Caenorhabditis elegans: one gene and its partners. Changing the gene in region 1 together with any one later gene gives a genetic interaction. Each region holds a gene or a part of one and is shown on either strand. Other genes may lie near its edges.

What was found. Genes that interact genetically often act in the same process or in processes that back each other up.
Region 2: of spn-4 (region 1) and mrps-18C, a change in one rescues a mutant of the other (synthetic rescue), as found in Caenorhabditis elegans (one study listed by BioGRID).
Region 3: of spn-4 (region 1) and dpy-3, a change in one rescues a mutant of the other (synthetic rescue), as found in Caenorhabditis elegans (one study listed by BioGRID).

What each region holds. Positions count from the first base shown.
Region 1 is NC_003283.11:6,782,555-6,786,601, forward strand, and holds spn-4 (RRM domain-containing protein), read right to left. Parts: upstream 2,350-4,047; 5' UTR 2,349-2,349; coding exon 2,299-2,348; intron 2,252-2,298; coding exon 2,147-2,251; intron 2,101-2,146; coding exon 2,038-2,100; intron 1,990-2,037; coding exon 1,274-1,989; intron 1,221-1,273; coding exon 1,099-1,220; 3' UTR 633-1,098; downstream 1-632. Other genes in the region: ZC404.15 (uncharacterized protein), read left to right, coding at 125-307, 399-574; spe-39 (Spermatogenesis-defective protein 39), read left to right, coding at 2,937-3,041, 3,207-3,367, 3,414-3,621, 3,673-3,834, 3,885-4,021.
Region 2 is NC_003281.10:4,933,694-4,937,740, reverse strand, and holds mrps-18C (Large ribosomal subunit protein uL3m), read right to left. Parts: upstream 2,164-4,047; coding exon 1,973-2,163; intron 1,927-1,972; coding exon 1,538-1,926; intron 1,461-1,537; coding exon 1,333-1,460; intron 1,220-1,332; coding exon 1,055-1,219; intron 1,010-1,054; coding exon 671-1,009; 3' UTR 520-670; downstream 1-519. Other genes in the region: fsn-1 (F-box/SPRY domain-containing protein 1), read right to left, coding at 1-154, 294-380; eri-9 (Zc3h12a-like Ribonuclease NYN domain-containing protein), read right to left, coding at 2,823-3,032, 3,083-3,157, 3,199-3,603, 3,651-3,919, 3,971-4,047.
Region 3 is NC_003284.9:2,144,086-2,147,461, forward strand, and holds dpy-3 (Nematode cuticle collagen N-terminal domain-containing protein), read right to left. Parts: upstream 1,563-3,376; 5' UTR 1,561-1,562; coding exon 1,396-1,560; intron 1,314-1,395; coding exon 570-1,313; 3' UTR 520-569; downstream 1-519.

The DNA.
Region 1 (4,047 bases):
GCATTCTCAAAATGTAAATAGTGTTCCTGTAATATAGGCGCTGGGGAATTTTAGAGAAAATCAAAATCTATAGGAAAAAACTATGAAAATTCCAAGTTTGCCTAATAATGCATATTTATTTCAGGTATCTTCATTCCTGTTTCGTGCCTATTTTGTTGGGTAAGCGGTGGTTGTCGACGATCGAAATCCCGTCGAATGTCCTTCTTCGCAACACTTTCAAGTCGTCAAAATCGAAGTCGACGTGGCACAGGAAATGATGAGGAGCGAAGCAGTTTGTACCCTTCCTCTCCACCCACTCTTCAAATCCGTAAGTTTCTCTCTCTCTCTCGTGTTTTCCCATCCATTTTGAAGTTATCATCAAAAACCACAAAACTTCAAAATTCACCAAACTTTTCCAGCAGCATCCACAAAGTGCCGACAGCCATCGTCCTTTTCTCTTCCCGCAGTCTCTCACGACGTCATTTTAGAAGAGAGTGAATCTTCTGATCATGAATGGAGGAAGGCCAAGAGGTGCCGAAAGATAACATTTGATCTCTCAATGACACGCCGGGATAATGATCTTTCACAACTGTGATTAAATTCAAACTGAAATCTAGTATTAACGGGTGATTTTGAAAATAAAACAATTGAATATGGCGAAGCACTTCATTTGACTTCGAGCAATACAGGAATGCAAAAATAACTGGCGAACACAGCGTCTATAAAATACAAAAAAAACAGAAAGATGCTCAGAAAATACAATACGTGGGCACATTCAATAATGTTAGCAAGCGAGGTAGGTTAAACGGACTGGTAGTATATTTTCAATATAGAAGATCTGTTTTCCGATTGCTAATGTTGAGTGTATGTGAGAGATGGCAAAATAGGGAAGATGCTGAAACGCATTCCTACAAAATAACACCGGGGGGGTCGATATAGAAGCTACAGGGAAGAAAAACTAGCAACGAATCATTTGACAAGGACAACGAGTGTCGCTGTACAAGAAGATTCCGTAAAAAATTTGTTAAAGCTTTTTGGTTAAGTGAAAGTTTAGGGGTGTTCGATAAAATGCAAAACACGCAGTTAGTAGAAATAAAATGGGCGTATCAGTTGAACTGATTACTGGCTTGACGATTCTTTTGGTGGAGAAACAGACTTTCCGTGGAACGATGTGGAACCTTCGTAGAGAGCAGCGAGAAGATAATCAGGGCTGTTATGTGGGGACCAATGAATCTCTTCGTCTAAAATTTGATTTTTAAATGAAAATCGACAATCTAGAATCTAAACTATTTACCTGAAACTGTCTCGCTCTCTGATGATCTCAATCCAGAAGATGTCACAGATGGTGCTCTCTTTCCTTTGTTAGCACTATTATTTCCTGATCCAAAATGGTTTGAAGTGTCGAGAAGAGCAGTAATCTGGTCACGAAGATGATGTGGGAATATAGAGTTCAACTCCACATCAGACAGCTCGTGATTCGAAGAATCAGAACACTTATTGCTGCATGGTGAGTTTTGTCTGTGCATGCACATCAGAATACTTGTTTCCGTCGTAGGCTCGCCGTTTTTGCAGAAGTATTCACCAGCTGAAGAAAGCTTGAGCTCGCTGTGCTTGGTGCATCGAGGTGGTTTGGTCTGCACAAGACTACGCGTGTTGAAAATTCCATTGCTACGGTATGGTGCCATCATGAATCCAGCTTCGGGAAAACATGTTGTGTTCTCCTTTTCCTTGAACAACTGATGCATTGGCTCAGCTCTCCATAAATTATGAGGGGCTCGAAGATCGACACACAGCTTTGGTGGTGGCAAAACTTCATTTTGTGGATTGTTGATAAGCTTTCTGCGGGTTGGTGTCGCTCTTCTCACTTCTATAATTCTTCCTTGAACATGTGATTCGTGAAGCGCAGCACGAGCTTTCTCACAGGATTCGATGGAATCGAGTGTGACAAACCCGAACCCTTTGGATCCACGATCATTTGTGACGATTTCCACACTCAGGACTCTTCCATATCTGAAATTAATATTCTTATTCAGAACTTGTTGTAAATTGAAAACTCACGCGAAGAACATTGCCGCCAAATCTTGTTCACGAAACGAGAAGGGAATATTGCTGACATATATCCTAAAAGTTTTTTGATGAATTCATTAAAACGGCACGACAAATTTACCTGTTATCTGTGAAAGAAGCCGGCTCACGAGTTTTCGGTTTGACCGATATTGGCATTGTGAAAATTGGATCTTTGTTGGAAGGATTCGCACTGTTAAACGGTAATCTGAAAAAGAAATACTTAATACCAACATTTAAAAATGATAAACATACCCATCATGTGCTCTGTGAGCGAAGTTAGTAAATATCTGTGTGTTTTGCATTCTGAAAAAAAAAGTTGAATAAAGAAAAATGAGGAACTGGGTAAAGAAAAGACAAGACAACAGAAGACAAGTGCAGAAATGATTCCAAATGATGATAAAACGATTGAAAATATAATTTCACATTTTCCCGCCACCGAGTTACAGAAAAATCTAAAATCAAAATTTCGCGCCTTTGTGATCTTCTAGATTTCTAGTTCATACGAACGTCGGATCAGGTCTAAAAGTTAATATAACTAGACAATTTTGTGTTCTATTTTCGATTAAAAAAATTATTTTACGAATTACTAGAAACTAAAGCTTTAATTCGATTTTCTTTAGGCCAAGAGCAAAAAATAATTTTATTTGATTCAAACTCGCGCTTCATTCATAAGCCCCGCCTTCGCAATCCTGGCACGCAGTTTTTGCAAGGAGCGTGCACGCAGTTGCCTTTCTTCTCTTTTTCTCGTTTCATGTCAATTGCGTTTTTTTTCTCTGCATTTATTTTTTATTGAATTCTTTTCCCATTTTCCCATAAAATTTTATCTATTTTTTCTCATTCTTATAGTTTCTTTCAGATACTTTGCAAAAGAAATGATAATATTATAAAGAATGGCCCTTCGAAGGAAATTCACTTTTGAACTTCCGGAAGACAGTTATTGGAATGAATCTGACTCGAATTCATCCGGATTGTTTGATGATTTACAATCAAAACAAGTAAGTTTTAACGTAGTTATTATATTAAGAAAAAACGAAAAAAATCTTTTAAAACTATAAACGTGACCAGATGTTTTACTTTTAAAAAATTGAAAAAAAAGTAAATTAACACGTTTCTTAATTATTATATTGCTCAAATCAATGTGTTTAACACGAAAATTAAAGCTTCAAGCTCGAGCAGCCGTCGACAATCTCTTCGGTGGCGATGAGACTCCGAAGCCGTACGTCCGACCGCAGAACCCAACGCCAACTCCCACAAATGTTCCACTGCAAATTGACGGAAGAGCTGCTGCTGTGTCAGACAAGGCGAATATTCGAATAACAGAGTAAGTTAATTACATTGTTTTATGAATATAAATAAGTAATTTGCAGTACCTCTCCTCGGGCTTCTGGCAAGATTGTAGATGATTTCTTGAACATGAAATTCGCTGAGAACGTTAACGTGGCGCCAGTTATTCAGACCGCTCCATCTGTGGTTTCTGAAGCAAGTGCAAGTAGTTTACCAAGTGAAGCACAACGTCTTGATTTGGATTATAATCGATTGAGACAAGAACATCGGAAACTTAAAGATCAGCACGAAGTTAGCTATTAAAGTTTTAATATAGAATTTTGAAGATAATTATGATTCTAGGTTCTTCGCCACGAACGGTTTCAGCCGCTTACAATCGAGGCTAGTATCAAGAGAATGCTTCAAGGGCATACTGTAACACTGGATTACTATAGGTCATTACGTGATAAGACACAACTTTTGAAGCAAGCAGTTGCCACGTACGACAATAATACAATTTTCAAGGTCCGAACAGCTATGATACTAATTTTTTAAAAAGTTATCTTTCTTTACAGATTGTGATTTTTCTAGAGAGAACTCTCAAGGAAAACATATTCTGCAAAATAATGGATGGCCAGAAAAGTGCATGCCGAGTTTACACACGACATCTTCAGATCACCGGCGAGTGGGACAAGATGAACAAGTTTTTACGGTATTTAATAAAAACTAAATTAAAAT
Region 2 (4,047 bases), on another chromosome or scaffold:
ACACTTCCGGGCGTCGTGGAGAACGTCGTCGTCTTGGGGGAATGCTATGCGGAGTCAATTGTTTTGGTGATTCATCTGGGGTTCCTGATGATGGATTCCCTTCGTCATCACATTCCACCATTGAAGTTTTTCGTTCTTTCGGGCTTTCCACTTGCTGAAAATTTAATATATTTCCCTTTTTTATTATTTTATAGCTTGTTTTCATAAACAATTTTTTAAAAATATTGTCTAGCTTTGAAGTTTGAAAAATTCAAGTTTCAAAAACAGTATTTTGAAAAAAGAAAGCAACTCACTTCCAACCCACTACTTTTCATAGGCGTTGAGGCCGTCAAATTGCACTGTTCGTCTGGAACAATCGTTTCCCCGTCGTTTTCAGCCATACTTCTCGATTAACCAGCTCACCACAGTCTTGTCATTCGCTTCAAATTGAGAATCCAAGTTTCAGAATGCATAATGTTAAGAAATAAAGTAAATCTCGGTAAACGACCGGTTTGGAAAAAAATCAACAAATAATTGAATATAAACTCTGCTTTTTGGTATTCAGAACAAACAAAAACAATGCAAAACAATGAAAAATCTATAAATCTACGGAACAAAAATTCTAATAAACCGAATTTCGACAAAAAACGATAAAGGAAAACCGTAATATATCATAAAATTAGATACACCATTACTTTTTAACTTTTGCAATCTTAGCTTTCGTTTTATCTCTTCCAGTGGCCTTCTTGGCGTCGGCATCAGTGAATAAAATGGATGGAGATGTGAAACGGAACAGTTTGGGCGAGAATTTTTCGTTGAAAAGAAGATTTTTGGGAATTGTGCCTTCTTCGGGTTCTGTCTCCGGTTCTTCTTCGATGGTTTCTAGTGATGGAGCCCATGTTGGCATTGGGCCGGATTTCAGACGTTTTTCTTCTTGTAAGCAATCTTTAAGTAGAATTGTTTCTCCAATATCACCAGGTACACTTCCTTTCACATAAATTACTTGTTTATCTACATTGATTCGAACAATCTTAAATAAATGAATTGAAAATTAAAATCGAGAGCAATTTCTTACTTCCAAACCAGAAACAGTCCTCCACTCATAACCCATATGTCCCGGCATACGTTTTCCTGGCCAAATTCGAGCATCGCCGACTGAACCAACGGAACCAATTCTACGATGTGATTTTGTGGTACGTCTTGTCGGTTGTCCACGCATTCCCCATCGATGCATTCCACCCTGAAAACGACTAGTTTCGAAAATATTTCGCAAGGGTTGAGAGATTATTTTGCTCCTTGGCTTGCAAGGGAAATTTTGGAAGTTTTAGACTATTGTAAATTGAAAAAAATTACCTGGAATCCCCAGTCAATAGTTTTTCCAGTAGCAGTTACATATTGACCAACTCCGAAGTGACGGGCATCAAGTGGCTGTCCAGCACTGGGGAGAGCGTCTTCTGTTACCAGGAAACATCCGAGTTTCTCTGAATTTATTTTTTTAACCATGAATTTACGGTGAAGGACTATCGAAAAGCGGAGCAAAACACAAAAAAAACCCAACCTTTCACTGGAATTCCTGCGCGAACAAATTGCCTACGGTACCCAAGCGTGTATTTTGTTGGATCATCATTTCCGGCACCCACTGTAACTCTCCACATAGGACCGTGACGATTGAAAGCCTTTCTTTTTCCGACGGCTGACGATTTATACCAAGCCTCTGGTGATGTAATACTGACAACATGATTTTCATCAACTTCAAGCACAGTGCACAGAATTCGGTTTCCTTCATTTGTCCATTGTGGGAGCATTCCGATTTTGCGGACAACCAGACCCACACGTCTTGATGAATCTGGAATGTCAACAACTGAGACATTGGTTTCTTGAGAATTTTGAAATGCAATGGTGGACGCCGCAAGAGTTTCTTTCTCAATTACGGTTTCAAGCAGATTTCTGAACAAAAACGTTTGCTAAACAGGTAAGAATTAATGCAACTTACTTTGTCCCCTGGCTAATACCCACACTGCTTTTCGGCACACTCTCTTTGACTGGCGGAAGCCATGGAGCTGGGGTCAATGTTCTTCTGCGACCTCTCTGCTGACTGATATGTCCACTGAAGGCCATTAGAATTCTCCCGGCCCATTCTGGAGTCGGACCCGTCGTCACACTGGATACCAGTGAACGGAGCATCTGTAATTAAGATTAAATATTAGTGAGATATAATTGATCATGAAATTCTAGAATAAAAATGAAGAAAATATCATCAGAAACTCCGCATGGAAATAAAAATGCGAGATACGAGAGCTGGACGAAATATAAAATGATGGCATAGCTAATTATAGCTTTATACCTTGAATGAATAACACTTCTGACAAGCATCAAAGAAACTTGTGTTAAAATAGTAGCTATTCAGCCAAATGAAGTGATTGATTCTGCTAAGTAATGAAAAATGGGAATAAAAAAGTCGGTAATGATAATCTGACGGGAAGATACTGAGAACAGAGGAACTAACGAATAAATCGAGAAGAACAAATAATTCGAAGGTTAGGCATATTACTTAAAATGAAATTATAACTAAAAGACGAACTTCAAATTCAAAAGAAGCTTGCTAACTTTACTTTAGCCCGACTTTAATCAATGCTCCTGAGAAACTGGGTGTTTCGTATGCGGCTAAACAACACGCGCATACGGAATTTCGGAGTGTTGTTGCCAGAAAATTCAAATAAAATTTTTCAAACAAAAAATGCAATTGTTTGTTTAAAATACAATTTTCAGGGTATATATTACCAAGAATTTTTAAAATAAAAGTTTAAAACCAAAGAAATGCGAAAATATTTTTATTGAACATATTAATTATCAATTTTTGAGAAAATAGGCCAATAAAGAAGGTCCTTCCCGTTCTGAATGTCTTGAATTGCCATAGCAACATCATCCATGCGAGTTTTTTGCATAAAACTAGGTAAAAGTTCTGGCACGTAACGTTTTATAATCATAAGGAATACTCTTATTTGGCGATAGCGTTGGAAATGGAAAATAGAGAGTTGCGCCATAGAGGAAATCTGAAATATTGATGATAAATCAATCTGAACGGAAAACTGGAAAAAATAACCAAATATGTTTGTTGCTCAAGAGTTAACTGATGCGGGGAATATTCAAATTCTTCGTTTTCAGATTTCTGATCACGCTGAAAAAATTTAGACTTTACAAAATTTAGATTGCACCTACGTTTTCGGATAAGTCGCCTGAGCTGGAAGCAACATCGACGATAGCTCCTTCTTCAGAATCTTCTGATATTTCAGAACATTCCTCTTTAATCAAATATTCTTGTTTCAACGTTTGTGGATCAGCAGGTTCATCCTCAGAGTCTTCCATAGCTCCACTGATTTTTTGATGTGATTCTTCTAGGACAGTTGTGCTTGATACGGCTGAAGAACTCCCTTCAGGTTTCAAAACTCTAGATTCTTCAACGAAATCTTGTGCGAGTATTTTTTTCGGAAGATTATTGACTAGGAATACTGTGCAAATTAGAAATTCATCAAGTCTTTTAGAATAACGATTAATCACTGGAAAGCATTGAATAGCGTTTCGGGTTAGAAACTCTTCCGCTGAGGAAACAAAGACTCCATGGACCTAAAATTTATTTTCAAATTAACGAATTTTGAAACTAAAAGAATAACCTTTTCAGCTTCAAGCAATACTTGTCGTTCCACAGCCCTCCGACTCCGCCCGTCAACAAACTGTATAAGTTTTGAATTGCACAAGAATTGAAAAATAGTCGAGTCATCGACTTTTTGGTTAGTTGTATCGTTATAATAATCTGGCAAGTATATTACAGTTTGGCACCCGTCTAGAATGAAATTTAAAAGTATTTCAAGTAGAGATCTCGTGGAAATTATTGGAAGCGACGATGAGATCGGAATTAGCATGTCCATGAATGATAAGCCATCTGAAACGAATTATTCAAAGTTAAAAACATCTAAATATGAAAGTAACCAACCTATAAATACGGGTCTAAGCATACAATCCGTGCTTCTTTGGTTAAAAATTGGAGTATTTTCTGATCCGATTTGATAA
Region 3 (3,376 bases), on another chromosome or scaffold:
AAATGACGTCACTCATTTGTGCGGAAATTTAATTTTTTTTAGCTCATTCCTTTTATTTTTGCAAAATTGAAAAAATAAATAAAAATTTAGAAAACATTTATCAACTTTTTAAAGTCATTACAGCCCATTTTCTAACATTTAAAGCAAAATCCTCACTCGAAAATATGTGTTTTTTTTGCGATAGCATAACTTTTAAATCTTGACATTCATGTCAATCAAAGTTTTATTTCTCTTTTTCTGGAGTCAGATGACAGATATAAACATCATTTTCGGGAAATTTCAGTTATTCTACTGTTTTGGAGGGGAAAAGGCTCACATCTCGTAATGACGTAAATGTGTATGAAAATAATGTTATGCGCATGACCAGAGTATTATAACATTATATACACCTGATATCAAACATCTAATTAGAAAAACAGGTGAATTGAGTTTTCATATACCCCGTTGGGCGTTTTCTTTTTCTTTTGGGAAATTCATACATGGGTCTGTTTTTGTTTTTATAGAAATGTATAAAATTTTCAAAAAGGTTTTTATTAGCAATATTTAAAACCAAAATAAAAATCGACAATTTAACGTCTAGCGTATCCTGGTCCAGTTCTCGGTGGTGGACAATGATCACAGGATCCAGGTTGTCCTGGTGGTCCACGTGGTCCAGTTCCTCCGTGTGGTCCTGGAAGTCCGTCAGATCCCTTCTCTCCAGGATCTCCTGGCAATCCTGGTGGTCCGGCCTTTCCAGGTTGTCCATCCTTTCCTGGTGGTCCTGGTGGTCCTTGTGGTCCCGGTGGTCCTGGTGGTCCTGGAGGTCCTGGTGGAGCTCCATTGATAACCTTTCCTGGCTCTCCAGTTGGTCCTTTTTCTCCTGGAACTCCCGGTGCTCCTTGTGGTCCTGATGGTCCTGGTGGTCCTGGAAGTCCTGGAACGCCATCTTGTCCTGATGTACCGGCATCTCCTTGTGGTCCTGGAAGGCCTTTTGGTCCTGGTGGCCCGGCTGGTCCTGGTGGTCCTGGTGGACACTTCTGGCATGGTGGCTTCGGTGGGGGTCCCGGAAGAAGTGCTCCGTCTCTTCCTGGTGGTCCTGGGTTTCCTGGTCTTCCTGGTGCTCCCGGACGTCCGTCTCTTCCAGGTGGTCCTGGTGGTCCTGGTGGTCCAACTTGACAAGTACAGCAAGATCCAGCAGCGGAAGATGGTGGATTGGCGGCAATTGGTTGTGCTCCATAGTTATCACGACGTGTGCGACGAGCAGTACGCGCTGGGATACCGCCGGTAGCAGACTGGACGGTGACCATCTCACGCCACAAATCGCGGGATCGAGTCTAAAAATAATATATTTCAATTGAGTTTAAATCGAATTAGATATTAATGAAATATAAAATTACATCAACATGCTCCACTAACCTTGCAGAAGTCTACTTCACTGTTCATAACAGATTGAAGATGCTGTACGTGATTGTAGACAAGTGGAACAATGATGACAGTTGCCAACATGGATACAATGGCTAATGTTGCCGACGCAATGGCCAACAGCCGGAGAGAGCGCCGTGGGGCGCATTTCTGCTCCATCTCTATAACATAATTATAAACTTTCAAAATAATCGAGAAAAAATCAAGAACAAAAATGGAAACTTTGTTGAAAATAGAATGAAAACAGAAATGAAGAAAAACTTTCTCAGTGTACACATATATATAAGTGGATACGACCTAATTAGATAACGACTGAGTGACCTGGATTATCTATCCTCAATATCTCCGTTAGTTTTCACTTTTGTGGATGAATTGCCGCGCGCCTACTGATGGGCTGAGATAAAATGAAATTCCGGAGGTCTTTGAGAATCTGGGAGGTAAATGGGGTAAAGTACATATCGTATAGTTGAAGTTGTATGTGATATATCTGATTAAATTACTTACAAGTAAATTCGAAATTAAGTTGAAAATATTAACAAAAAACTTGTGATTTTGGGAAGATTCTGAGAAGAGTATTGAGACAATAAATTTAAAAAATAATTCCATTTTTCTTGCAAAAAACCTTAATTCTTCACAAATAATCTAACTGCAGTGAGTTACTTGAATCTGAAAAGTTGTTAGAAAAGATTTAAGGAAAAAACCCATACGTATTGGTTTTTTTAATTCAAAATTTGTTTGAGCGTCCAACGTGAATTTGTTGCAGTATTATCAGAGTAAGAAATCAGATAAAATTTTACAGAAGTTCAGAGATCAAAATTTTTGATGTTTTATATACTTTTCAAAAATTATTACATGTGTTGGCCGTTTCCCGCAAAAAGATTTGCTAAAGGTTTTGATCAAATTCTGATTTTTTATATATTTTTATTTTTCATTTTCAAGTACGTAATGCTATTTTCTAAGCGTATCTGGAGAAAAATTAAATTATTGAGTTCAAAAAATCTGAAGTCAACTAAAAACTAATACATACCCAAAATTAAAAAAAAAATTTTCAGCTAAACCTTTTCCAACGTCACCAATCATTAGAGACCCCTTTTAGTTGTTTTCTATAAAAGCTGATGCTTGAATAATTGAAACAATAAAGAAAATAGCCAACTTGTTCTATTGCTATAAGTTTCTTTATTAGTTGTTGGTCAGATTTGAAATGAAAACAAAGAAGACGTTAACACACCATTTCTGATGATAAAATGTAGGATTTGTTTGTAGACTAACTGTTTAGAATGTAGATCATAATCCAAAACCAAAATGGCAAATATAAATACAAACATTAATTCGACCGGTGAAAAAATTACAGGTGGAGTAGTTTCAATGGGAATTTTGTGATTAAATACACTTATAATGACCCAAAACGACCGAATATCATATTAAAACAGTGCAAAATTTTTTTTGATTTTTTAAAATTTCCAGTCAAAACTTTGGCAAAAACTTTGGCTTTTGAGATTTTGTGTGGCAAAAACTGGGCTATTATCACTTTTTGACAGCAAGTAAAAAATTCCAAATCTTTTTTAAACGTTTGTTATGATATTTGGCCATTTTGGCACCAGGCAACTAGTTTAAAGCACTTTCCCCACTGGCGGTACTCATTTAATTGTCAAACTTGTAAAAATGAGAAAATTTAAAAAATTCTTCAGTTTTTAACTGTTTATATAACTGTTAATATACATTGATTACTTAAAATATTTAAAATTTTCAATTTTCATATTCATAATAATTTTTTTGGATTTTACAAATTAGGTAGATACAAATGTTTTATTAAAAAAGTTTAAAAATTATATTTTAATGTGAGGGTTCCGAGAGATGGAAAAAGACCAAGAGATACATTAACTACGACAGAAAACAGGTGGAGATAGTCGCCGGTTTGGAGTGTGTGAAAAAAAGATACCAGCTAAATTACATGATGACCACGAGATCTATAACG